Oryzias latipes: one gene and its partners. The protein of the gene in region 1 purifies or fractionates together with the protein of each later gene. This does not show direct contact. Links are inferred from orthologs where the notes say so. Each region holds a gene or a part of one and is shown in the gene's direction. Other genes may lie near its edges. The genes, in order: ncbp1, protein lin-28 homolog A, upf1, ncl, kpna3, thoc2 and kpna4.

The links.
Region 2: the proteins of ncbp1 (region 1) and protein lin-28 homolog A purify together in Homo sapiens (affinity purification with mass spectrometry; 3 studies listed by BioGRID and IntAct, with this or other methods). This does not show direct contact. The link is inferred for Oryzias latipes from reciprocal best matches to the Homo sapiens genes NCBP1 and LIN28A.
Region 3: the proteins of ncbp1 (region 1) and upf1 purify together in Homo sapiens (co-immunoprecipitation; 3 studies listed by BioGRID and IntAct, with this or other methods). This does not show direct contact. The link is inferred for Oryzias latipes from reciprocal best matches to the Homo sapiens genes NCBP1 and UPF1.
Region 4: the proteins of ncbp1 (region 1) and ncl fractionate together in Homo sapiens (co-fractionation; 3 studies listed by BioGRID and IntAct, with this or other methods). This does not show direct contact. The link is inferred for Oryzias latipes from reciprocal best matches to the Homo sapiens genes NCBP1 and NCL.
Region 5: the proteins of ncbp1 (region 1) and kpna3 purify together in Homo sapiens (co-immunoprecipitation; 3 studies listed by BioGRID and IntAct, with this or other methods). This does not show direct contact. The link is inferred for Oryzias latipes from reciprocal best matches to the Homo sapiens genes NCBP1 and KPNA3.
Region 6: the proteins of ncbp1 (region 1) and thoc2 purify together in Homo sapiens (affinity purification with western blotting; 3 studies listed by BioGRID and IntAct, with this or other methods). This does not show direct contact. The link is inferred for Oryzias latipes from reciprocal best matches to the Homo sapiens genes NCBP1 and THOC2.
Region 7: the proteins of ncbp1 (region 1) and kpna4 purify together in Homo sapiens (co-immunoprecipitation; 3 studies listed by BioGRID and IntAct, with this or other methods). This does not show direct contact. The link is inferred for Oryzias latipes from reciprocal best matches to the Homo sapiens genes NCBP1 and KPNA4.

The regions. Positions count from the first base shown.
Region 1 is NC_019868.2:27,750,758-27,755,043, forward strand, and holds the start of ncbp1 (nuclear cap-binding protein subunit 1), read left to right. Parts: upstream 1-1,486; coding exon 1,487-1,520; intron 1,521-2,913; coding exon 2,914-3,002; intron 3,003-3,088; coding exon 3,089-3,189; intron 3,190-3,262; coding exon 3,263-3,419; intron 3,420-3,503; coding exon 3,504-3,611; intron 3,612-3,969; coding exon 3,970-4,091; intron 4,092-4,182; coding exon 4,183-4,252; intron 4,253-4,286. Other genes in the region: tstd2 (thiosulfate sulfurtransferase/rhodanese-like domain-containing protein 2), read right to left, coding at 1-41, 971-1,246. UniProt on the Homo sapiens protein: Component of the cap-binding complex (CBC), which binds cotranscriptionally to the 5'-cap of pre-mRNAs and is involved in various processes such as pre-mRNA splicing, translation regulation, nonsense-mediated mRNA decay, RNA-mediated gene silencing (RNAi) by microRNAs (miRNAs) and mRNA export.
Region 2 is NC_019874.2:22,826,206-22,829,705, reverse strand, and holds part of protein lin-28 homolog A, read left to right. Parts: intron 1-143; coding exon 144-363; 3' UTR 364-3,500. UniProt on the Homo sapiens protein: RNA-binding protein that inhibits processing of pre-let-7 miRNAs and regulates translation of mRNAs that control developmental timing, pluripotency and metabolism.
Region 3 is NC_019862.2:13,859,683-13,862,075, forward strand, and holds part of upf1 (regulator of nonsense transcripts 1), read left to right. Parts: coding exon 1-67; intron 68-382; coding exon 383-464; intron 465-558; coding exon 559-723; intron 724-1,036; coding exon 1,037-1,257; intron 1,258-1,377; coding exon 1,378-1,497; 3' UTR 1,498-1,500; intron 1,501-1,693; exon of another isoform or gene 1,694-1,805; 3' UTR 1,806-2,393. UniProt on the Homo sapiens protein: RNA-dependent helicase required for nonsense-mediated decay (NMD) of aberrant mRNAs containing premature stop codons and modulates the expression level of normal mRNAs.
Region 4 is NC_019862.2:11,722,694-11,724,918, forward strand, and holds part of ncl (nucleolin), read left to right. Parts: intron 1-75; coding exon 76-159; intron 160-203; exon of another isoform or gene 204-260; intron 261-338; coding exon 339-462; intron 463-907; coding exon 908-1,044; intron 1,045-1,132; coding exon 1,133-1,259; intron 1,260-1,394; coding exon 1,395-1,531; intron 1,532-1,699; coding exon 1,700-1,829; intron 1,830-1,871; exon of another isoform or gene 1,872-2,006; intron 2,007-2,225. UniProt on the Homo sapiens protein: Nucleolin is the major nucleolar protein of growing eukaryotic cells. It is found associated with intranucleolar chromatin and pre-ribosomal particles. It induces chromatin decondensation by binding to histone H1.
Region 5 is NC_019879.2:9,666,803-9,670,302, forward strand, and holds part of kpna3 (importin subunit alpha-4), read left to right. Parts: intron 1-965; coding exon 966-1,051; intron 1,052-2,104; coding exon 2,105-2,191; intron 2,192-2,276; coding exon 2,277-2,446; intron 2,447-2,598; coding exon 2,599-2,643; intron 2,644-2,720; coding exon 2,721-2,852; intron 2,853-3,500. UniProt on the Homo sapiens protein: Functions in nuclear protein import as an adapter protein for nuclear receptor KPNB1. Binds specifically and directly to substrates containing either a simple or bipartite NLS motif.
Region 6 is NC_019872.2:16,174,152-16,178,078, reverse strand, and holds the start of thoc2 (THO complex subunit 2), read left to right. Parts: upstream 1-1,127; 5' UTR 1,128-1,229; coding exon 1,230-1,294; intron 1,295-3,816; coding exon 3,817-3,872; intron 3,873-3,927. UniProt on the Homo sapiens protein: Component of the THO subcomplex of the TREX complex which is thought to couple mRNA transcription, processing and nuclear export, and which specifically associates with spliced mRNA and not with unspliced pre-mRNA.
Region 7 is NC_019871.2:13,515,352-13,518,851, reverse strand, and holds part of kpna4 (importin subunit alpha-3), read left to right. Parts: intron 1-1,228; coding exon 1,229-1,273; intron 1,274-1,385; coding exon 1,386-1,517; intron 1,518-1,874; coding exon 1,875-2,003; intron 2,004-2,601; coding exon 2,602-2,706; intron 2,707-2,781; coding exon 2,782-2,853; intron 2,854-3,044; coding exon 3,045-3,207; intron 3,208-3,301; coding exon 3,302-3,396; intron 3,397-3,500. UniProt on the Homo sapiens protein: Functions in nuclear protein import as an adapter protein for nuclear receptor KPNB1. Binds specifically and directly to substrates containing either a simple or bipartite NLS motif.

The DNA.
Region 1 (4,286 bases):
TCTGCACTGCAGATCTTTGAAGCCACAAACGAGGCAAAAGACTGAAAAGGAAAAAGAATCAAAGCATTTACCTCAATCAAGCAAATGTATTCTGTTTCAAATACTTCCAGAAATATATGGTTTCCAAAAAAGTTGGACCGACTAAAGGAGTTTCTAAATGTGATGTCTTGAATCATCATCATCATCATCATCATCATTGAGGTTCACGTCAATATTTACGTAATGAGCCAAATTTTGGCCTGTCAATACTCTGATCAAGCCTGAAATATATTACATATCTATAAATGATTTAAGCATTGATTTACATCTATTTGGTCCGGTAAACGGTAATAATCTGTTTATGACAAAAACAGGGAAGAATTTTATATGTCTAAAGTGACAATTTAAAAGAAGCAACAAATTTTTTTTTATGTATTTGTTTGTTTGTGACATCAAACACTAAAAAAAAGCCTCTCTGCAAATTTACCAGTTGGCCAAAAGCCCCCCCCCCTCTATTTGTTGTCCCAGGACAGAAGGTAAATGTGCCTCACTAAATATAAAGTAATCATTTAATGAACGCCTGGTGAAAGGTGAGTTTTCAACTGTAAAATGGTCAAATATGTTTTTAACTACAGGATCTATTTCTAAATTGTTGTGCCTTTTTTATGTTGTTTGTTTTGGTGTAAAGCACTTTGTGTTATCATGTTCTAGAATTATATAAATTTTACATAAATAAAGATTGATTAGATTTGATACACAGAAAAACAAAAACAAATACCAAAGATATTCTCTAACTTTCATGTCTTGAATACCTTAGGTAGTAATAATATTACTACCTAGTAGTAATAATATTACTAATATATAAAAGATGCAAACTGCCCAGAATTGGGTCAGAATCAATATTTAGTTTAGATTAGTTTAGTCATTTTTTATTCTGTTTTCAATCATTCTGCGTTGTCTTTGTGGAAAGAGAAGCCAGATATTCTCCTACCTTTCTCCTGCAGAACCTGTAATATTTTCTGTGAGCAGCAGAAATGTGTTTGTTTTGCTTAATTGATCCATGATCAACCATCGACGTGTTGACCTCCCAGTTCAGAAACTCTGAGCAGACTGCTTCACTGGCTGCCATTCTCCTCAACTGGCAAATTAAATGCACGACAAATATGTTTGTGATCGTAAAAAACGCAACTTTGTGATAGAACGCGTAAATACTGACAAAAAGAGAGATATAAGTTCTCAAACGCGGTAAATACCCTTGTATTTCCATGCGAGTGTGCAGCTCACCGGAAGTGGAAGTTCAGCTTCCGGTTGTACCTTGAATGACCCGGATGTCCATCATTTCAATCGCTCCGCTGTTATTTCTCTGTAAGAAGCTGCTGTTGCTGCTGCTGCCGCCTCCGGACTCTGCCGTTCAAAATAAGCAAAGCTTTTCCCGGATCCACCGGTCTGTCCCGCGTTATTTTTTTTACACCGGGTGTCTGCACGCGTGCAGCTCAGGGGGGACAACATGTCCAGGAGGAGACACAGCGACGACAGTGACGGCAAGTCGCGCGCTGCATGTGCGATTCAAACGTTACGGCTAACGCGGCAGCTAGCTACAGCTACCTTGATTATCTGTATGTGCTATAACTTTAAAGGAATGCAACGATAGCAGGCGTTGCCCCAATATCAAGTATTTTTTTAAAGCTACTAAATAAATTAGGGGATTTTAAAAAATGATTTTTAAGAGATTAAGTTTTACCAGAAAAACCCGGTTCCGTTAGTTAGCTACTTTAGCTAACGCTAACGGCCAGATTTATGTTTTATAACGGTTTCTGGCACACAAAACACATTTAATGTTTGTAAAGACTGGCGTAAGTGTTGAAAGAGACACTTTTTCTGTGGGTTCATCATCATGCGCATGGAAACGTGATGTTACAGCCCTGTGGATTTTGTGATTTATAAAGGAACATTCACAACCAAAGTGTCTCACGGTTCCACACTAAAAAAATATCAGACCTAACAATATTTTTATATAATGTAGGATTAGTTTAGTATGTATTTGTCATTGTATGTATAAATGACTTCTATTGGCTTCCATTGAGTGTTTACCTTTCATTCAGAGATTTCAGTAAGGAGAGAATCAGCAAGGCAAGTTTATTTCTTAAGCACATTTTATGTACAAAGGCAATTCAAGGTCCTTTACATAAAACACTAAAAGAAAAATTTAACAGAAATATTAAAGGAGTTATCACCAAAATAAAAATTTAAAGAACTGAAGTAAATACCAACCTGCATTTAAATAAACTGAGTGTTTCAGCTGATCCAAGGCTTAATTCTGGTAGTCTGTTCCAGATCTACAGAGCATAGAAGCTGAATGCAGCTTCTTCGTGTTTGATTTCGACTCTAGGTACTGACGAAAGAGCAGATCCAGATTACCGGACAGGTCAGAACTGGACTGATGTGGTCTAATATTTGGCTCCTTTGAAGGACCCGAGCAGCAGAGTTCTGAATACGCTGCCGTATCGTCCAGCAAAAACACTGGAACAGTAGTCAAGTCGACTAAAGATCGACTTAACACATAAACAAGTTTGGCCAAGTCCTGCTTAGACATCAGATCTTTATTTTAACCAGATGAAATTATCTCAAAGCGATGTTAAAAAGATGGGTTTTGTGCTTCTTCTGAAAAATCTCTACGGTCTCTGAGGCTCTCCGGCAGGCTGACGTCCAACTGTTTGTCTTTAGCCCTAGACACAATATTCTCCATTTTTCTTCTGTTTACCTAAAGTATATAGGAGGAAACCTCCAGTAAAGTCAGATGGAGTATGTGTGACTGTCGAAACACTAGATTTTATGAGACGAATACACTATTTTCCCCCCAAAACGTAGATTTGTTTTTCTGTCTTCAGTGTCCTCTCAGGTCAGAGGTTTAAGTTCTGTCCTTTTCATTTTTAGGAGGTCAAGCCCACAAAAGGAGGAGAACATCAGAGCCTATTGAGATTGAAGACCGCCTGGAGTCGCTGATATGTCGCGTTGGAGAAAAAGTACGATGGCCGTTTTGTCATAAAGCCATATATTTACTATTTAAATAATTTGCAATAACTAAAGTCCGTCTTTGATCTTTTAAAAGAGTACATCGTCCCTCGAGAGCAACCTGGAGGGGCTCGCAGGGGTTTTGGAGGCGGACCTTCCAAACTACAAAAACAAAATCCTGCGTATTTTATGTGCAGTGTAAGTTGTCCGCAGTTCTCCTCATTCTCAAGCGTAACAAACGGTCCGTTTTCACAAACGCGTCTTTCGACAGAGCCCGCCTCCTGCCGGAGAAGCTGACAGTCTACACGACGTTAGTCGGCCTCCTGAACGCCAGGAACTACAACTTTGGGGGAGAGTTTGTGGAGGCCATGATCCGGCAGCTGAAGGAGACGCTGAAAAACAACTTCTACAACGAAGCCGTTTACTTGGTCTGTTGATGTTCAATGTCTAAACTCGCAGCTGCTGCAGCGCCTTTTGCTCTCGGCATCGTTTAAGTTCTCTGCTCTCTTCAGGTGCGCTTTCTGTCAGACTTGGTCAACTGTCACGTGATCGCTGCCCCTTCCATGGTAGCCATGTTTGAAAACTTCATCAGTGTTACTCAGGAAGAAGATGTGCCACAGGTTTGTTTCTGCACGGCCTCACCTGGAATATTTGTTTGCATCAGAAGTTTCAGTTTATGAACATCCCGTTCTTTTTTTACTTAATGTCACATTTAAGGCGCCTCCTTTTGTTTTACTGCAACGTCTGAGTTTCCCCATTTCAAATTCAGCAAACTCCTTTATTTTTGTATCATCTGATGTTCTCAATGACGACTCAAAATTCCATGACTTGGTTTTGGGAGAACTGCAGTCCAATCAAAAATAAAAATGATTGTTTTCTGTGTAAAAATAGTTTTAGATTTATACAAAAACGATTTTTCAGCTTCTCAATTTGACTTGAAGATGAAGATCAGTAAGCGTGAGACCCTTTTGGCTCCAGGTTCGGTTGGACTGGTTCGTGTACGTGGTTCTGTCCTGCCTGCCGTGGGTCGGCAAGGAACTTTATGAGAAGAAGGACGTGGAGATGGACCGACTCCTGAGCCAGATCGAAGGCTACCTCAAGTGAGACGCGGCCTCTTTTCTGGAGCATCTTTTGCTTTCCATTGAAGCTGTTGTTGGACTGACTCCAGCGCTCTGCTGTGTTCCTGGACAGGAGGAGGGTGAAGACTCACGTCCCCATGCTGCAGGTGTGGACCGCTGAGAAACCACATCCACAGGAAGAGGTGAGCCTTTTGGACAAGCAGGTTTTGAAACGCA
Region 2 (3,500 bases), on another chromosome or scaffold:
ATAAAGTTTTTTGATTAAAATATTGTGATTTTTTTTCTTGTGTCTCCAAAGAAAACACGTATTTGAGTGCCAAAAAACACTCAAAAACACCATACATTTAAATCTGTTTGTGTAGAAAATGATCAAACACTTTTGCTGTTTAGGTGCTACAACTGTGGAGGTCTGGACCACCATGCCAAAGAGTGTAAGTTGCCACCTCAGCCCAAGAAGTGCCATTTCTGCCAGAGCATCGATCACATGGTCGCCAGCTGCCCAATCAAAGCACAACAGTCCTCACCAAGCTCTCAGGGAAAACCGTCTCCCTTGAAAGGAGACGAGGGAGGTTACAGCCACCCGGCACCGCCTCCCGAGACGTCAGATTAAACTAAAGGTCGGGCCTCGATGAAGCACAGAAGCCAATCAAATTGCTTCGACGGCGAGGAAGGACACACGATTCCTTCCCAGCTGCTGAAGCTGCTTTTGGATTTACCTCAGGTTAAAAAAAAAATACTCATGAAGAATGTTTTTTTCCAACTGGTGTAACACTCAGGAAGACTTCTGTACAATTGCACTCGCAAAGCTTGCTAGATGAACGAATCACTGCTGTTAGAGGGAAAAAAAACACTTTGGTTTTTCACGGGTTTTCACAGGTTCTGTGAAAAAAAGAGCCTTTTCTCGAGGCTCTCAAACACCCGCAATATATGCATAAGACTCCGCGTGGTTAGAATAGATTGATGCTTTTGCTGCCTTACAATTTCATCTCTTTCCTGACTTTTACACCACATGTAATAGTTAGTTGCTCTGTAATGAATGTTAGTGTGCATATCACACACTGGGAGGGTTCATGACAGAATAGGGGGAAAAAAAAACTTTTGATGGGTTTAAGGGTATAGCTATTGGCAATGAAATGGTATTTTCAAAATTGCAGTTGACCATCCAGTTTTCCTGGGGCCAAATGAATGTCAGACCAAAAGTTGTTTTCAGGTTTTGGTCAGTTATATATATATATGTTTCGTTGATTATTTTTTCTTTGTCATTCATCTTTTAGCTGGCTAGTCTGGTCTACCTCACTGGTGCATGTTTGCTCTATTATCCTCACTGCTTACAATCACCAGAAATTCTCAGACTAGGGCTTTGGAGAGTGGAGATTGTATGTTAGGGTTAAATCAAATCCCTTTTGCACTACAGTATTTACACTCAGTCGACATGATATGGGATATTTTGGAATTGCAGTGATGACCGCCTCGTGTTGCTCCGCAGGTGCTGGCTTTGTGTCGACTTAAGGTACAGCTATTAATGTGAAAAGACGACAGCTGTGCAGATTTTCAGTCTGTTTGGGAGAAAGAGGAAAATGGAAGCATTATATAATATTTAGAGATCTTAATCTCTTTGTCTCCTCAGCTGCAGGTCAACATGAAAAGACTACACTTTTCACCATCTTTATGAAGTGTGTCACAACGCTTTTAACCACTAACCGCTAACTTCACAGAAGGTGGTCAGTTGTACTGTTTGAAGTGGCGCTGCAATTTAGTTTCACAATTGCTCAGAGTCTATAGTTTTAAACCATCAGCCATCAGCAGGTAAAGAAAGACACAATCAGACCCAAAGATGGCAGCATAACGCTCCGTTTCGGCCACCGTCAGCTGCAAGGTGTCACTTTTTCGTGCCAGATGTGTTAAAGAAAATGCTGCTTTTGAATGACTTGAACATGGATTTGATTAAATCATAACACCACACTTCTGAAAGACTTGACATGGGCTGAAATACTGACGAGTCCTGCTACTTCTCCTCTTGAGGAAAACAACAACGAGGAAGAATCAGACGTTGCGATGCTAGTGAAAAGACTGGCGCTTTAATTTATATCCAGTATGATCGTTTTCTAGGTAGTTATTTAAGACTTTGACCTCCCTATAATCTGCAGAAGGGTGATTGTTCAGGAACACCAAGCCTGCACAGAGTTGCATGTAGGTCTAGCTAGCTAATCAGCATTTTACTCCCGTTTTACAGGAGAAGCTGACGTTACATCCAATTAATATATATGTAAAATTATTCTAAAGCCTTTTTAAAAAGATCATACTACTTATTTATTTTCATTCAAGAGTACTGCAGCTTCACCCTCTGATCCTGTTGAGACCTCTCAGTAATGAAGTTTTGGGCACAGACACCAGAAAACTGCAAAGCCATTTGAATCTGTATTATGATTTTTTTTTATATTTTAGTAACTTTTAACATCCAGGTACTCTCATTGCTTTGTACATATGTGCTTGATTCATGCAATTTTCCTTAATTTAATTAAGTATGAACACATAGTTTTATAACTAGTTAAGAGTAACAATATAAAGAACATGCTGCACACATGGCAAAATGAGGTCTGGTGTTAACTGTGAGGGTTTTTTTTAAATTTGATTTTTATTTGTATTTTATTTTTTTCTTCATGTGAGTGCTTAATGAGCCTTTTAAGACAAAATAGATCATTGTCATCCTTATCTATGCCATATCCAATGCAATGTCACTGCACTAATCATGTGTAAGATGCATCAATTTGTTTTATCTATATGTAAATATTTCAGTTTATTTTATATTTTTGAATATATATCTTGATTTTTATATACTTTTTATTTTCAATTCCAATTTGTTGCGGGAGAAAAATAATCTACTACGGTGATTATCTCAGGAATTAATAAACTGAAACTCAGGGAGCCCTTCAGATTGACTGGAAGGAGTCACAGAGTCTTAGTGTATGACAAAGCAGGGATCCAAATGCTCATCCTCATGATGTGAAAAGAAGGCCAGAGAAGGTGCAGTTTGTTTGTATTCTTTTATTTTTTCCCCCTTTATTTACTGGACTTTCATTAGAAAACTGTGAAGGTTTGGGTCACAGAAGCAACGGCTGCAATTGACAACAGTAAATGTTCAGGTCTTTTGATTCATCCTTCCATACAATGCTTTTCTGTATTCTTTCTCACAATATAAAAAAAAAGTATTTCATTACTATTGTATTTTTTCCTCTGTAATCGTTGTAGATGGGGATGTCGTAGAAGATTGTAAAGGGACTGGGGCTTGTAGTATTTAATCATCGTCTCCTCTCAAACTTTTGATACTTGGTGTTCCAGACTATCAGTGCTTGTGACAAGGAGAATGTCACGAATGATTGACACGCATACTATTCCATACTTCGATGCAAGGTGATGCCTTGTATAAATTCTGGCGTTTTAGAGAATCAAACTCTGTTTTGATGATTCTACTCAGGTTTTTCAAAGAAATGAGAAAGTGCCGTCGTAAAGCCAGCTTACTTTTCAGGGCAGTTTTTTTTATCCATTATGTCAAGTGCCAACATATCCTCTAATATGAGCAAATTATTTTTATCATATTATTAAAAAAGAAAATAAAGGGACACGCAAAAATCAAAAACTTTTTAAAAATCATTAATTATTTGTGCCATTTGTCAAACTCTACTAGGAACTTTTGGGAGGCCACTGTTTGGATCAAAGTGTTATAATGTCTGCAATATTTTGCTCTAC
Region 3 (2,393 bases), on another chromosome or scaffold:
CAACAACCTCAGAGAGAGCCTCATGCAGTTCAGCAAACCCCGTAAACTTGTCAACACCATCAACCCCGTGAGTACAACCTCCTGCACCACTAATTCCAAGGCAGATCGGACTTTTTCTCAACATGAAAATGACAATCCAGAAAGTAATTTAAAATTCAAAATCAGATTTTGTTCATACTTTTTACTAGAAAAACAAAAAAGCATTACATTTCTTTTTTAAACTTGGCTTTATTTGAACTTTTACACACTTCTTAGGGGACTGAATTTGCCAAAGTCCAGCAAAATTATTTTTTAAGTAATTTTATTATATTTTGAATAAACATAATATATAGATGACTGTTAGTTTAGGCTTTAAAGAACTCCAAACTCTTTGTTTGTTCAGGGGGCTCGTTTTATGAGCACTGCCATGTATGACGCTCGAGAGGCTCTCATCCCTGGATCTGCATACGATCGAAGCAGCACTGGTATTTCTACATCTTTTCACATTTGTAAACATTCAAAAATGATCTCAGCAACTGTTGTCGTTTGTAAACCCCGTGTCTTCAAATGCTCTTTCAGCTGGACGTCCGTCCAACATGTACTTTCAAACACACGACCAGATTGGAATGATTGGGGCGGGCCCAGGTCACATGGCCGCTATGAATATCCCCATACCGTTCAACCTGGTGATGCCCCCAATGCCTCCCCCAAGTTACTTGGGTCAGGCGAACGGCCCTGCTGCAGGTAAACCAACCATTGCCGCTCTGCAGAAGCTATGACCTGCAAAAACAACACAGATTTCTTGATTTTGGCTCAAAAAAGGCCTCAAAAAGACACCTGGGAATGCTTTTAAATGTCTTAAAACATGATCAAAGTGGGACTTTAAATACTCAGATTTGTCGTTTTCTAAATGGAAAGGTGTCCAACCCATGAATAGGGTCACTTAGACCAAAGTTCTTCCCTGTTTTTAATACTTGACATTGGCCAAAATTCATTTATCCTGCTTCTTGTGTTTTGCAAAATGGTTAGAAATGATCCTTCTCCTGTTTTTATGAAGGCCGTGGGGCTATGAAAGGGAAGCCCGGGCGCAGCGGGCGGCAGAGGGTCCGCGGCATCGGGAACCAGGGTCCCGGGCAGGTTAACGGACCAAACAGCCAGGTCAGCCAGGATGGGGCCTCCCAGTCTTTCTCTCAGGGGCCGTTGACCCAGGGCTACATCTCCATAAGCCAGCCCTCTCAGATGAGCCAGCCCGGCCTCTCCCAGCCCGAGCTGTCTCAGGTAACCCATGCAGGGTGTATGCATAATACAGATTTTGCATTTTTTAAAGTAGAATCCTAATTTTTATTCAGTCAAATATGTACAGATCATTGAGGAAGTGTCTGGTCTTCTCCTCTACAGGACAGCTATCTGGGTGATGAGTTCAAGTCCCAAATCGACGTGGCCCTGTCCCAGGACTCGACCTACCAGGGCGAACGTGCGTACCAGCATGGCGGAGTGACCGGACTGTCACAGTACTAAAGTGTAAGTCACAAACTGTATCGGGGCACATTTAATTCTATGTCAAGACAAAACTACTTAGAGTTTACTCCGTTTTCAGCGCAAAGACAACACTTAAGGGTTTAATCCACCTGTAAATCTGCAGAACTTTGTTATGAATGCTTGGCTAAAACCTATAATGCAAAAGACCCCTGATAGTGTGTTTTACATCTGGCAGGTTGGCTGAAGAAGGGAGCTAGGCTGGAGCTGAGCTTAGTTCATCAGCTTTTAAATCTGGGAAAAAATAAAAACATAAAATGGATACCTGTTTTCCTCTGCTACATCCGAAGCACCACCAAGTGAAAGCGACGGGATAGCGAAACCAAACCAATGACCAGCGAGCGAAATAAGAGGGTAGAAGAAGAGAGCACTAACCGATGCGCATGGAGATGGAAGGAGAGGCCGCGTGAACAAGCGAAAGGCAGGAAGCGATGCCCGTGGGTAGTGATGGAAGGAGGTCGAGAAGATGGCGGCGTCTGGTCGGGCTGCTGAGGGAAACGTGAGAGATCAACAGTCTCTGAGAATCCAAAAGAGGTTCAGTCCCAAAGAAAATGATCCATGCAACAATGCCCCCCACACACAGTCCCTGTGAAGGCTTTAGTCCAGTTTACTCGTCGTCCGACGAGAATCGAGGCTTTTCAGCGGAATCTGAAGAATTCTTTCTCCAAACCTGGACAGAAATGTGTGCGGGAAGCTTTCAAGCATTCAGCACAGACAAAAATACAAGTCCCCCATGCTGGATGTGGGTTGTCTGATCAACCCGAACAACGTCCAAGACTCTTAAAATTAGGTTAATCGTGGGAAGTAATGTTCACCCGGGCCCTGACTCCTCGGCAGCCTACGAAGGAAGCAGCGGTCGACAAACCTTCTGAGAGAGG
Region 4 (2,225 bases), on another chromosome or scaffold:
TCGATTTTGCATTGAAAAAAAATTAAACATTTCCTGCATACAACTTTGTACAAAGTCTTTTTTCTGTCTGAACAGAAGCCCCAGCTAAAGCTGCAAAGAGAAAGGCAGATGGAAAGAAAGAACCAGTTCCTGCTAAGAAAGCAAAGTCTGATGGAGAAGGCAAGTACAGACATGTTGGTTTATCATTCTGAAGTTTATTTCTCATGATGATCAACAAGGGACTTAATACTGATGTGTGATGTCACCTTGAATTATTCTGAATATGCTTGGCCTTATTCTGCATTTATTGCTTTCACCCACATTTGGATTGTAAAAACTGTTGTTTTGTGTTTTTCCAGGCTTCTGCTTGTTTGTTGGAAACCTCAACTCCAACAAAGACTTTGACGAAATCAAAGCCTCGCTCAGAAAATTCTTCTCCAAAAACAGTCTAGAGATTGTTGATGTCCGGTTAGGAGGTTCCAAGTAAGTTTAAAAAAAAAACACACACGTCTTGCCCGGACAAGAATGTGTGTTAAAACCTGAGATGTAGGGGTGTTTTCCCCACAGTCATTTGGGAACCTTTGTCCTTTTAAAGGTCTTCCTGGTCATTGCTTCCTTTCATGGCTCACTTGTTTTAACTCAAATAAATATATGGTTACCCCGGTTTCAATTGCATTGCACCACAAGTTTAAGCTTTTTAAGAGTGTTGTTCAAAATGTTTGTTGCTTGCTTCACAATGTGTGATATAGCGATCCTGCAATGATTCATTTTTAGGGGTTGGAGAAGAGCGACTGAATTCAAGACAACTCAAATGTTTTTGTGATCTTAAATAAAGAAATTCACGAGTTCAGCCAAAAACCTTTGATGTTCATTTAAGGTAGATTTAATTTGAGGTCTAATTTTCTAATTTTGCATCTTGCTTCAATAGGAAATTTGGCTACGTTGACTTTGCCTCAGAGGAAGACATGAACAAGGCAATGGAGCTTAATGGCAAGAAATTCATGGGTCAAGAACTAAAGCTGGACAAGGCCCGTCAGAAAGATAACTCACAGGAAGGAAAGAAAGGTAAACATGCACCTTTGCAAAGTTTGTCTGCTAAATGTTTGAAGTCTGTATTATCAGTGTTTTTCTAAAATTGATATTGGTTCTACAGAGAGAGATGCGCGGACCCTTTTTGTTAAAAATCTTCCGTTTTCTGCCACGGTTGATGACCTGAAGGAATTGTTTGAAGATGCGGTTGATGTCCGGTTACCTCAGGGACAAAACGGTTCAAATAGAGGGTAAGAAAAAACTCAATTACAGAAGTCACTTTTATAGTTTGAAATCTTTAAAATAACTTACCAGCCTTATGCCCAATTGTTTCTAGTTATATCTTACCTTGTCCTCATATCAGCTTTTCTGTTTCTTTAATGCAGCATTGCCTACATTGAATTCAAATCTGAAGCTGTCGCAGAGAAGATGATGGAGGAGGCCCAGGGAGCCGATGTGCAAGGGAGGTCCATCATTTTAGACTTTGTTGGAGATAAGAGCCAAAAAGGTGGCAGAATGTCAGGTACTGAGTCCTGTATTGATGATATGTAACTACCCAGAACTGTTAGTAAAATCCTTTAAATATATGTACTCAGTAACTGGTTCAAATGCTCAAACCTTAAAACCTGCTTAGGTGTGATGAAAGTTAATTGGGAATTGAACAATTTCTACCCTTTTTGTTGCCGTTTAGCATCAGGAGGAGTCAACAAAACGTTGGTTGTAAATAATCTGGCCTTCAGTGCCACAGAAGATGTTCTACAGTCTACGTTTGAAAAAGCAGCTTCCATAAGGATTCCTCAAAGGGACGGCAGACCTAAAGGGTAAGTGCTGGAGAAGACGGTTATTGTTTACAATTCTAGAGCACCTTCTCATGAGCTCCTCTCAATCGCATCCATGATTCTGTACGGATTCGCACGAGAAGCAGAGCCAGTGCACAGATCAAAACAGGCTCGCCCTACATGCTTATGGGTGTTGCCCATGTCTGCTGTGCAACAAATATTTTGATTTGATGAATATTTGATAAAATGATAATTTAAGAAAGCTGTTTAAACAGTTGTAATAAAATTGTACCTGTATAAATTATTGTTTTCAATAAAAAATCTTTCTAGTGTTCTCAGTATTTTCAGTAGCTAAATACCAATTGTAATAAATTTGAATGTCAATACTTCATCAATCAGAAGCAGCATTCTGTGTTGCCTGGTAATAATGTTAGTTTT
Region 5 (3,500 bases), on another chromosome or scaffold:
CTTGGTTTATCCTGCAAGTCCACATGTGAGCGTGTGCGGTGGCATGCAGAGCAGCTGGCTGCTTCTCTTAGCTTCAGCCAATCCAAATAGATCGGCATTCCTCTCTCCTACATTTCACTGAATTCCCAGGACCTTGGGTTCACCGAGGGCCACAGACTGAAAAGCTTGGGCTGCTTTTATGGAAGAAATGGTTGGGCTTTTATTGACGATGGCATCCTTTAGAAGTTGATGATTTTCTTGAAAGGAGCTAGTTCTTGTTTTGAACATCTAGAATTTAGACAAGAAATCTGTCAGATCTGTTCTGTAAAGAAAGAAAGAACTTTAAATGGAACATTATATGGTTAAAAAGGAATAAAAAAAAAACAGAATTTCTAGCAATGTTGAAAACAGAAAACCACATAGGTTAGCAGTCTTTTATTTATTTATTTATTTTAACTGTTGTGTGACATCCAGGCTAAACTGTCTTAACAATTCTCAATTTGGGGTTTTAGAGTTTAATTTTAAAGGGGAATTCATATTTACCGGTAACTTTGAGTGTTTTTCATGAAAGGTTTAGACGTACACTCTGAAATGTATGACCAAATAATGATAAAAGGTAGAGGACCTTGTAAACTGAATTGACAGACGATGTAAATGATGGCTAACTGTTCTACATCAGACTATTATCTTTATGCCTTTTTAAGGAACAGCATCTGCAAATGTGTGACTTTGTTGAACACATGAATCCTTTTATAGTACACATTGATTTGAAACATTTTATGCTTTTTTTAAAAATTCAAAATCAGCATAAAATTGTCAGAAAATAAAAGTAGGAGACAAAACTGAGCCTAATCAGTTTTTAACATGGTGGACGCCATTTTTATCTTTTCTAGTTTGACATATTTTTGCTTCGTTTGTTTGTTGTCATGGAAACCAGTGTTTTCATTTCTCGTGCTGATTTGTTTTCTTTCTCTTTCACCACGTAGCCCTTCTTTACAGTTCGAGGCAGCTTGGGCTCTGACCAACATCGCCTCTGGGACGTCGGCACAGACTCAAGCTGTGGTTAAATCCAGTAAGTCGACCCCATACGCCGTCCTCCACATGCTTCCCCGTCTGTCTGGGTCTGGACGCCGTCTGCATGGTCGTCTTCTACTAGTTCAGCAAATCCCAGTCAGCTATTCTTCAGTGTCTCATTTTGCACTAGACTATAGACTACCGTACTGTTTAGGCCTTTAGCAAGAAGTAGTATACTTGAAGTTTATTTTATGATGTATTCTTGAATTTAAGTATATGTAGTGTAGGAAGTATACTCACTGAATACTTATTCCGACTAAATTGGAACATTTTAAGTTTACAATATATAAATAGTGTATATTAAGAAAACTTCAAGTATACTACCTCACTTTTAATACAGACTACGTATACTTGTAGTACACTTAAACAGACTACTTTTGTTTAGTGATGACAGCTCTTTAGGATGCAAAAAACAAATGTATTGACTTACTGTTAAGCAATTCATCTTTCATCTTATTTTGTTTGTCTCAAAGTTCACTTACATTTGATGTTGTTGTAATAAGTAAATAAAAATAGCATTTTCTTTTTTACCTGTTAACTTATTGATGAAAATAAGTCATCTATCAACCATTTGTTGACCAGAACCTTTATTTTTATTTGTGAAACTTAAATTGTGGATACATTAATATCATGTCTAAAACTGAATTCCGACACAAAAAAGACATGAAGTCACAAATGGATGAATGCTCGGGATAGCAAAATCCATGCTGTAAAAAACTATAAATGCAGACACAATTGAGGCAAAGACCTGAATAGATTTGATTAATTGTTTAGCTTCTTCTTTTTTTTGGGGGGGGAAACAGAAGAATAATCTTTAAATGTGAACACCATGACGCTGGTCAGCACTTGGGCATCAAAGGAAACCAGGTGGACTGCTTTACTGGCATTCTTTTCATCAACTTTCCACTTTAAAGTGAAATCAAAGGTGTTTCTTGATGCTACTGCCTGTGCGGGGTGTTAAGCTGCTCCACCAACGCAGCAGCTTTATCTTCATGTGTTGGTAACGTCACGTCATATTAGGTTTTTTGATCGTTGACGCTTGCTGACCCAGATGCAGTGCCGCTGTTCCTGCGCCTTCTACACTCTCCTCACCAGAACGTGTGTGAACAGGCAGTATGGGCTCTAGGAAATATTATAGGTAAGTGCTTTCCTGTGGTAAAGGTGTGTACCAACATTTGACATTGTCCAGCGCAATGTTGACATGCCACCTGTCGTATGGTCAGGCGATGGGCCACAGTGCAGGGATTATGTCATCTCCTTGGGTGTGGTGAAGCCGCTGCTCTCTTTCATCAGTCCATCAATCCCCATTACTTTCCTCCGTAATGTTACCTGGGTTATTGTTAACCTCTGTCGCAACAAGGATCCTCCCCCACCAATGGAGACTGTGCAAGAGGTGGGTGTGTCTGGACCTGATTACATGCTTTTGTGCTTCAAATCAGCCTCATCACCTTAGAAAGTCTTTTACTTTGAAGGCCTGTTTGTTCATCTAATGAGATGGCTACAACTCATCTACTCGAGATCTTTCGTTCTTGTTTTTTCCTACAGATTCTGCCGGCACTCTGTATGCTCATATATCACACTGACTTAAATGTGAGTATCCAATTGGCATCGCTGCTCATTTCCTGGTTTAATCAGTCACCTTTGTAACACAAACTTGCTGGTTTTAGATCCTCGTAGACACAGTGTGGGCTCTGTCTTATCTGACGGATGGAGGCAACGAGCAGATCCAGATGGTTATAGATTCTGGGGTCGTTCCATTTCTCGTGCCTCTCCTCAGCCATCAGGAGGTGAAAGTTCAGGTGAGATGAAATTTTGTCGAAGGTGTCGATCAGCCATTATGTACATGAAGTGGTCAAAAAGAGGGCTCTCTAACCTTTTATAGGCCAAGGACCGGGTTAATAATAATTTAATTTCCCAGACTTTCCTGTATAAGGCTGAAGTCCAATTTTCTGTTTTTAAAGCTTTCAGTTTCCCTTAACTTTTGAGGGTAAAGTTTATCTTCATACTCTGTAAAATATCTGCAGCTGGTTTAAACCTTTCCTCGAGATTACATATAGGAACCATTCAAATGTGATATAGATTTTCCATTAGTGAAGCCCGTTGAGACAACTGTGTTGTAATATTGGGCTATATAAATAAAACTGAAATGAACTGAACTGAATTAACCCAAAACTGTCATAGTGGAAGCTAAATAATCAGACGCCAACCTCAGCCTTGCGACAGATAAATACAAAACAAAGCGGTCACTAAAACTGACATTTTATAGATAAATGGGAATCTTCGTTTCATTAGACAGCCAGTGCCTGAATATGACACATAATTAATGTTATGATGCCATTTTGTAGTGCTGTCCCAATCTACAATTCCAAAATCGAGTGCCCTAGAAATTTCCCAGAAGTCTTAGCCAAAAACCAGGGTGCAACGCTGCTCACTAAATTGGCAAATAC
Region 6 (3,927 bases), on another chromosome or scaffold:
AGACCCCAAAGTCTCCCATGTCTTTAGACTACTATATAGTGAAAACTGCAAAAGATAGGACTTCAAACCTGTAAAATATTGTAATCCGTGCGTTTTTGTTTTTTCTTTTAATTTGGAGGTTTTACTCTTTGTGTAAGTATTGTTTAAAAAAATGTTTTCATTGAAGATTGATTTACTCATTTACAAGTATGAATGTATTGACTTTTTTCTTTTTGATATATGAGAATTACTTTTATTTGTGTGTTGAATTGGTTAGCAGAAATCAACATAATGGGATGGTATTCTCATTTCTGTTATCAATTAAAGGCTAATTTCATTAAAAAGATCATTAAACTGGAGAGAAGATGTAGTCTTAAAAATTAGCACAATCGAGACAAGGATACTTAGGCAAATAACAATGATCCATGTAGAAATGCATGTCAACATGTCATTTTGGATTTGTTTGGTTTGGTTTGCTTTGTTTAAACTGCTAAATCTGTGCTTATTTGCCGTTTGTCCACTTATTCCATTTATATTTTGTATGTATATTGTAACACATGCCAAATAAACCCTCTATAAAAGTGTTATCATTTTGGCATGAGAGTCCAGCTATTTTTAAATAAAGCATAGCCATTTTTTCCATTGTAAATCAGTTTGATTTTTCCAGATTCATTTAGAAATGTCTGTCATAGTGTTTGTAATATTGTTGGTCTATTATTTATTTATTTTTTAAAGGAAGTTACTTTATTTAGTCTGGTTTATGCCATATTTCAGACACAATTTAGCCCACTTTTGGCATTTCATCAGGTTTAGTTTCTATAGAAAAGTTACTTAGGCCAAATATGACCATTGAGTTGAGGTTAACTTTAATTGTGAATCATTTTAGGGATCGGATGAGGACCAGATGAAATATATCAATGAAAAATCGTGTAATAAATTCTAGGTAATCCTTTAGAGAAATTAATATATGTTGATCCCGACAGTTAGGCTAGTCTTGGGTGGGTCTGCTATTTTCTCACACTATCCTAATTACCGGTAATCTTAAAATGCATTTGCGTTGGATTCTTTTTCCAACACAAAATACGTTGAAAATGTTTAACTGCGTTCCCAAGTATAACGCCTGTCCTCCGATACCCGCACCAAACCCTCAGAATCCCGCCATGCAACACTAACAACGGCGGCTCATCCCCACATTTGACCCTGTGTGTGCCATGATTATGAACTAGACATCCGGGCGGTGTGTATGGAAGATGGCGACACTTATTATCTCTGGTGAATGGATCAAAAACTGGGAGAAGTCTGGAAAACACGAGTTGTGAGTACATGTTTTAATTAAATGCGGTCCTCGGCATTGCGCCGTTTCTTTGTGTTTACAAAACAAAATTGAAGTAGCTAGCATTTCAACAAGCGAAGGACAGTCCTTCAGCCGTGTTAGCCATAGCTGTGTTAGCAACAACGTTAAAATGCTTGTGCGGCTAACTTTAAACTCTTGTAAATACACATCTGCAACGCTTGACGCTAAGCTGTAAAAGGTTAAAGAAAACACTACAAGCTCAAGTCTGTTAGTTTACGTTTCCTGTGAGAAAACCATGATGATGTTCAAACTGTTTTTGCGAACATTACGGCTATCAAAGCTAAGCTAGTTGGAATACATTCAGCTAACACGTCTCATCGTGTTAGCCAGCCAAATAATCAGTGACGGGGGAAAGAGCTTTATAACTGCTCATCTTTATAACAGACGTATATAAATCAATTTTCAGCATTACGTTTGGGGACTTGCTTGTTAGATATACTTGATCAAGTGGAGGGAAACGAGGGATTTTACAACAACGTTGCATCAAGTTTAGCTAGCTCCAGTGTTGGTTGTGTTATCGTATATCGGCCACCTTTTTTTGGTTTCTTATATATTTTATTCAGAAATCCATGACATTGGGAAGGGAAAGTGTGTTATTATGTTTTCTCTTTAAATACACGTGACAATTGTAAATGTATATGTTGATTATTAATCCTGAATAGATGCAGTCTCTGAATTTAGATGCTGCGGCTAACTTTACAACTTTGATGTTAGCTAATCTGAAATTAAGCTAGGTTTTGCGCTAGTTAACACAGCGGGCTATTATTTTCTTGTTAAATAAAAGCTTAAAAGTTAGGATCCGTTTTAAGGAATAGTACCAGCAGATTACATGCTTATAAGAGTCATCCATTTTACATATCACCGTTACCGTGGCCATCGTGTTTACCACAGCAACAACAAAGGCCCCTACACGTTAAGAATTGGACAATAGATAGGGTAATAAATCAAATGAAATCTTTAGCAAAACGGGAATGATGTGTTTATTTAATTAGTCCGCGCACACGAGACACAGACTTGCACTCTAGGCTCACACCCATAGTGTTAGCTGTTCTTCAGTCTGCATAGGCCCACAGGCTGGAAAAAGCCTGCACTTTACACTTAGGCACTAGCTTCTCTGCTTGGAGCTGATAAAGGGTATTAGAAGAAAGTTTCTGGGTTGTCACAAGATGCCGTTTAAAGTTTCACTAAATGTCATTTAGTGTTTTCACCAAATTCAACTTGCTTTAAACTAACTAATGTCCACTCTGTAGCAAATTATCTGACATCTGGTTTAAGCAAGTAAGATATTTGTTTCAAAGTATGTTTACTTTTTTATATATTAAAATTAAAAGCTTGCACTTTTTTTGAATCTAGAAAATTTCAGCCCCCTTTTCTTCTTTTTAATGCTTTTGGGCTCTGGAAATGGTAAAATATAATCTGAAGTAAAAGTAAACAGAATACGGCACAGTTTTGTAGAAAGTCGTTTAAAACATGCAGAATCAGTGATTGTGGTTTCAATCTACTCAACACAATGCGGTTTACAATTGGATTCAAATTGCATCTGTGGCCCAGAGGTAGAACAGTGGACCTCTGATCAAAAGGTTGCAGGTTTGATTCCCCCCATGCCTGCCCATGTGTCAAAATGTCCTTGGATAATACACCTTACCCCATATTGTTCCTGGTGGTCTGTTTGGCGGTTGGCAAGACGTCTCCACCGTCAGTGTGTGTGAATCGGACTATAAAGCACATTGGGGCCTTTACCATGCAAAATATTTTTTTTTTGTGTATTTTAATGTTCATTCCTCACGGAAAGAAACCCCAAAGCTGTATTTGTGATCCGTTAACACATATGAGTATTCCTTTAAAAACCTGCACTCTGAGCACCAGCCCCTGCCCACCCATGAAAATGAGTGGGTTCTCACATTGTGACGTAGAAAAGTGAAGAATAGCCCCTTCCAGGAAGAATCTGCGCTCCCAGCCCCAGACTAACGCACATACACACTTCTCCGTGGAGCTAAGGGTGATTGGCAAATCTTCATTTTATATGCATAATATGCACATCCATCTTTGCAAAAGTTTGGATGTTGGTTAATTTTGTGAGCTAGACGCAGACGTGCTGCGAGGCCGTCTCTAGGTTGACATCATGAAACGCCCACATGTGCCTCAGAGATCGAGTAGTCTTACTTCCCAGTTGTTAACGACCTCAGGAAAATAACTAATATTTCATTAAAAAATTGTTCTTTTTTATGACAAAGGTAAAATATTATCACATACATGGACGTTGTTTGCTATAAAAGGCTTAAGAATAGGTGGTATAGGCCCTTTAATAAACTGTATTCGCCTTTTACTATTATGTATCAAAACTCATTTCAAAGCTGGTTTTCAACTACGTTTCTGTCTATTCATCCCATCACTCAGAGTGAAGTTCTTTCGCTTTTTCCAGGATTTCTTTTCCATGTTCTAGATTACTAAAGATTTGTTGTTGTTTTTTTTTTTCTTGATAGCATACAACTCTGCAAAGACCTTACAGAGAAAAGTGATCATGGAAGTGAAATTAGAGGTAAGTTCAGCCTGGCTTGTTTCTTGTCTGCATGTCTGAATTTGGCCATTTGTAT
Region 7 (3,500 bases), on another chromosome or scaffold:
AGCCAGATGTCAGCTCAGACGAGGAAAACTGACACACATGCATCTAGAAATGAGTGCATCAGAATGGAGCAGAGGCATCAGAATGGAGCAGAGCAGGGATTTAATGGTCCGTCCAGCATATTTTCTAAGTCACAAATATGCTTTTTCAAAAAGCCTTTTTTTAAGCTACTTCTGATTCACAACAATTTCATCAGAGGGCATCTTAAACCTCTTAAAATGTAGTTGTAACGTTAGATAAGCTAATTCTTTTCTAGGAATTCTGGTACATCGCCTGTACATCCTGGGGGAGGATCCCTCCTTCATGTGGGCTCCCCTGAGGTTTTTTCTTTTTTTCGGAATCAGTTTAGTTTTTACTTACTGCGAAGGTCTATGTGTAGGGATGCCCAGTTTAGTTTAGTTTAGCCATTACCTATTGAATTGTATGACTTTATGTTCTTAATGATTCATGTTTATTATACAATTGCTGGTATGAGGCCCATTGAGATGACTATTGTTGTAATATTGGGCTATATAAATAAAATTGAATTGAATTAAATGTGTAGACGAACAAACCCCTCCCTCACAGAGATGACACGCGCTGTCATAGTGCACAAAAGCTCCGGTAAACTTGTGGTTAAACCTTTACACTGTAGTTTGAATCAGGCTTGTCGACGATTGTCTGCAGCTGAATATCTGCAGAAAAGTCTTTTTAAAATGATCAACTGTAGAATCATCAGATCATACTGCAAAAGACCAAAGACATCTGGACTTGCAAACCTATTTGAACATGCCTCAAGGTTACTTCTGTAATGAACACCGTTATCTATGTTAACTCCCTATTCACGGCTGGATTATTAGAGAATTCAGTTGTATCTTCATCATTTAATCATAATTGATCACTGAAAAGAAGAAAGGAAATATGAATAACTACATTCAGCTGTTTTTGGTCTTCCTTTGCCATAAGGTAATTGTAGGTGGGAGTCTTCTTTTCTCTCAATTCCAGCCCTTCTAGATTGTGTCCTGAATTTGAGAATGAGCGTTGCAAAGGGATTACGCTTTGATGTCTCATCCGTCTGAACCAGTGAAAGCAGAGAAAATGGTGTTTAAAGGATGAGTAGGGTGTTGAAACTGCAGGCCGTAGTACAGGATAAGAATAGATTTTTCTGGAGATGTGAGGACTTTAAATATAATCTGTTATTCACTGTCTTTATCCATCCCTACACTTTGTAATGTGTTTTTATTTTCTCAGATCCTGCCAGCTCTCTGTGTGCTGATTCATCACACTGATGTCAGTGTAAGTATAACAGGCTGTGCTGTTCTGTCCTCACTGGTTTGGAGGTGACAGCATTTGCCTAAACATGGTTTTAAAAAACGTTTCCTTTATTTCTTTTCTTTACCGCTTCTAGATCTTGGTGGACACCGTGTGGGCTTTGTCTTACCTGACTGATGCTGGAAATGAGCAGATCCAAATGGTCATCGACTCAGGCATTGTCCCTCATCTGGTACCTCTACTGAGTCACCAAGAGGTCAAAGTTCAGGTGGGAAGAAGAGACTGTCGTTGCTGCTGTCATATATTACTTATTCATTTGGGAAGGTGTCTTTGCTTTTAAACAAAGACTCGGCTTTACTCTGGCTTTTTACACCACCACTAAAAAACTTAACACCAACTTTCCAACTTTTATTAAAAAACACAAAACACTGCGTAGTTAAAACTGCTATCTTATAAACAAACTATAATGGTGTTTGTGTAATTTTGTCTTTAAAATTGTCACATTTCTTCTGAGGATGATCACTTGTGTTATTGAGCACTGCTGCTGCTTTCACATCTAAACTTGTGCAGTTTTCTAGAATTGATGAGTTCATGTTGATGGTTGTGTCATTTCCACCTCATCCAGACTGCTGCCCTCAGGGCCGTTGGGAACATAGTGACCGGCACAGACGAGCAGACGCAGGTAGTGCTCAACTGTGACGCCCTCAGCCACTTCCCAGCACTCCTCACCCACCCAAAAGAGAAAATCAACAAGGTAACGTCTGCTGCAGCTCTGAGTGTCTTAAACTGCTGCACACGCTGTCTGGAAGTGATGAAATCAGAGACGTGGTGTTAGTGTGTGAATGCTGGGTGAAAGATTGGAGGGGGGTTTCATAGAAAACAACAAAGTCTCACCGTGGATGATCGCGAGGATGAAGATGGTTAAAGAAGGCATCGGAGAGTTGTAGGGGATTACTTGGGTTGGGGGTGGTAGGGGTGATGGTGGGGGGTCGATTGTTTGCGTGACTGTGTAATATCATGGGGGTGGTGGAAAGCAGGGTGCTGAATAAGTGTTGATATCGGGGTGCATCTGAGACCAGCCATTCAGAAAAAGAGGCCTGCTCTGTGGCTGGTCGATGATTAGAGCCTCAAATCACCCTCGCCCCACCCACAACACCTTTGTCTCGACCAGATGTCGGCGCCGCTCTGCTGACGTCTGGATTCTGATCCAGTTTAAGAACAAACTGTTTCTGTTGCCTCGCTGTAGTCAGAAAAAAACTGTTTTTTCTTGTGTTGCTTTTTTAAACAAAACGTGGAGGCACATGTGTGATCCCTAAACACGCTCTCTGGTTGCTGCATGTTCTGCCCTGTAGGAGGCAGTGTGGTTCCTGTCCAACATTACAGCAGGGAACCAGCAGCAGGTGCAGGCAGTCATAGATGCCAAGCTGGTCCCCATGATCATCCACCTGCTTGACAAGGTTTGCATGATTTCTAAATGAAATACATATTGTAAAAATTCAGAGTGTGTTGCTGATAGTTTTTCTTTTTTGTAGGGCGACTTTGGCACCCAGAAAGAAGCAGCGTGGGCCATCAGTAACCTGACAATAAGTGGCAGAAAAGATCAGGTGAGAACCTCAGCTTTAGTTTACTTGGACTACTTAATCTGGTATCTATATGCCAGTTTTTACTGGGAAAATGCCAACTGTGATTTGTTTTGTTTTTGCATAAATAAAAGCACAGGTACTCTGATTTTTTGCCTAGTCATTTGTATTTTTTACTTGAATGCATTATTAATGCTCTCTTTCTACAATCATAGGTGGCTCACCTCATTGAGAAACAGGTGATTCCTCCCTTCTGCAACCTGCTCACAGTGAAGGACGCTCAGGTGGTGCAGGTCGTCCTTGATGGTCTCAGCAATATCCTAAAGATGGCTGACGACGAGGCAGAAACTATTGCTAACCTCATTGAGGAATGTGGAGGTGGGTTTCAACGTCTAACACTGAGGTTTCATCCCTTTCCACTCAACAGCTTCTGTGTGCTGCAAATATTTTTTGTCTTTTTTTTTAATCACAGGTTTGGAAAAAGTGGAGCAACTTCAAAATCACGAAAATGAAGATATCTACAAATTGGCTTACGAAATTATTGATCAGTACTTCTCATCTGATGATGTAAGTTGAACCAAACTGAAGAAATGGCTGTAAATGTGTTTTATGTTGGAACTTTTTAGTTTAGAGTTGACTGTCAACACACTGCATGTTTTCCCACTCTGATC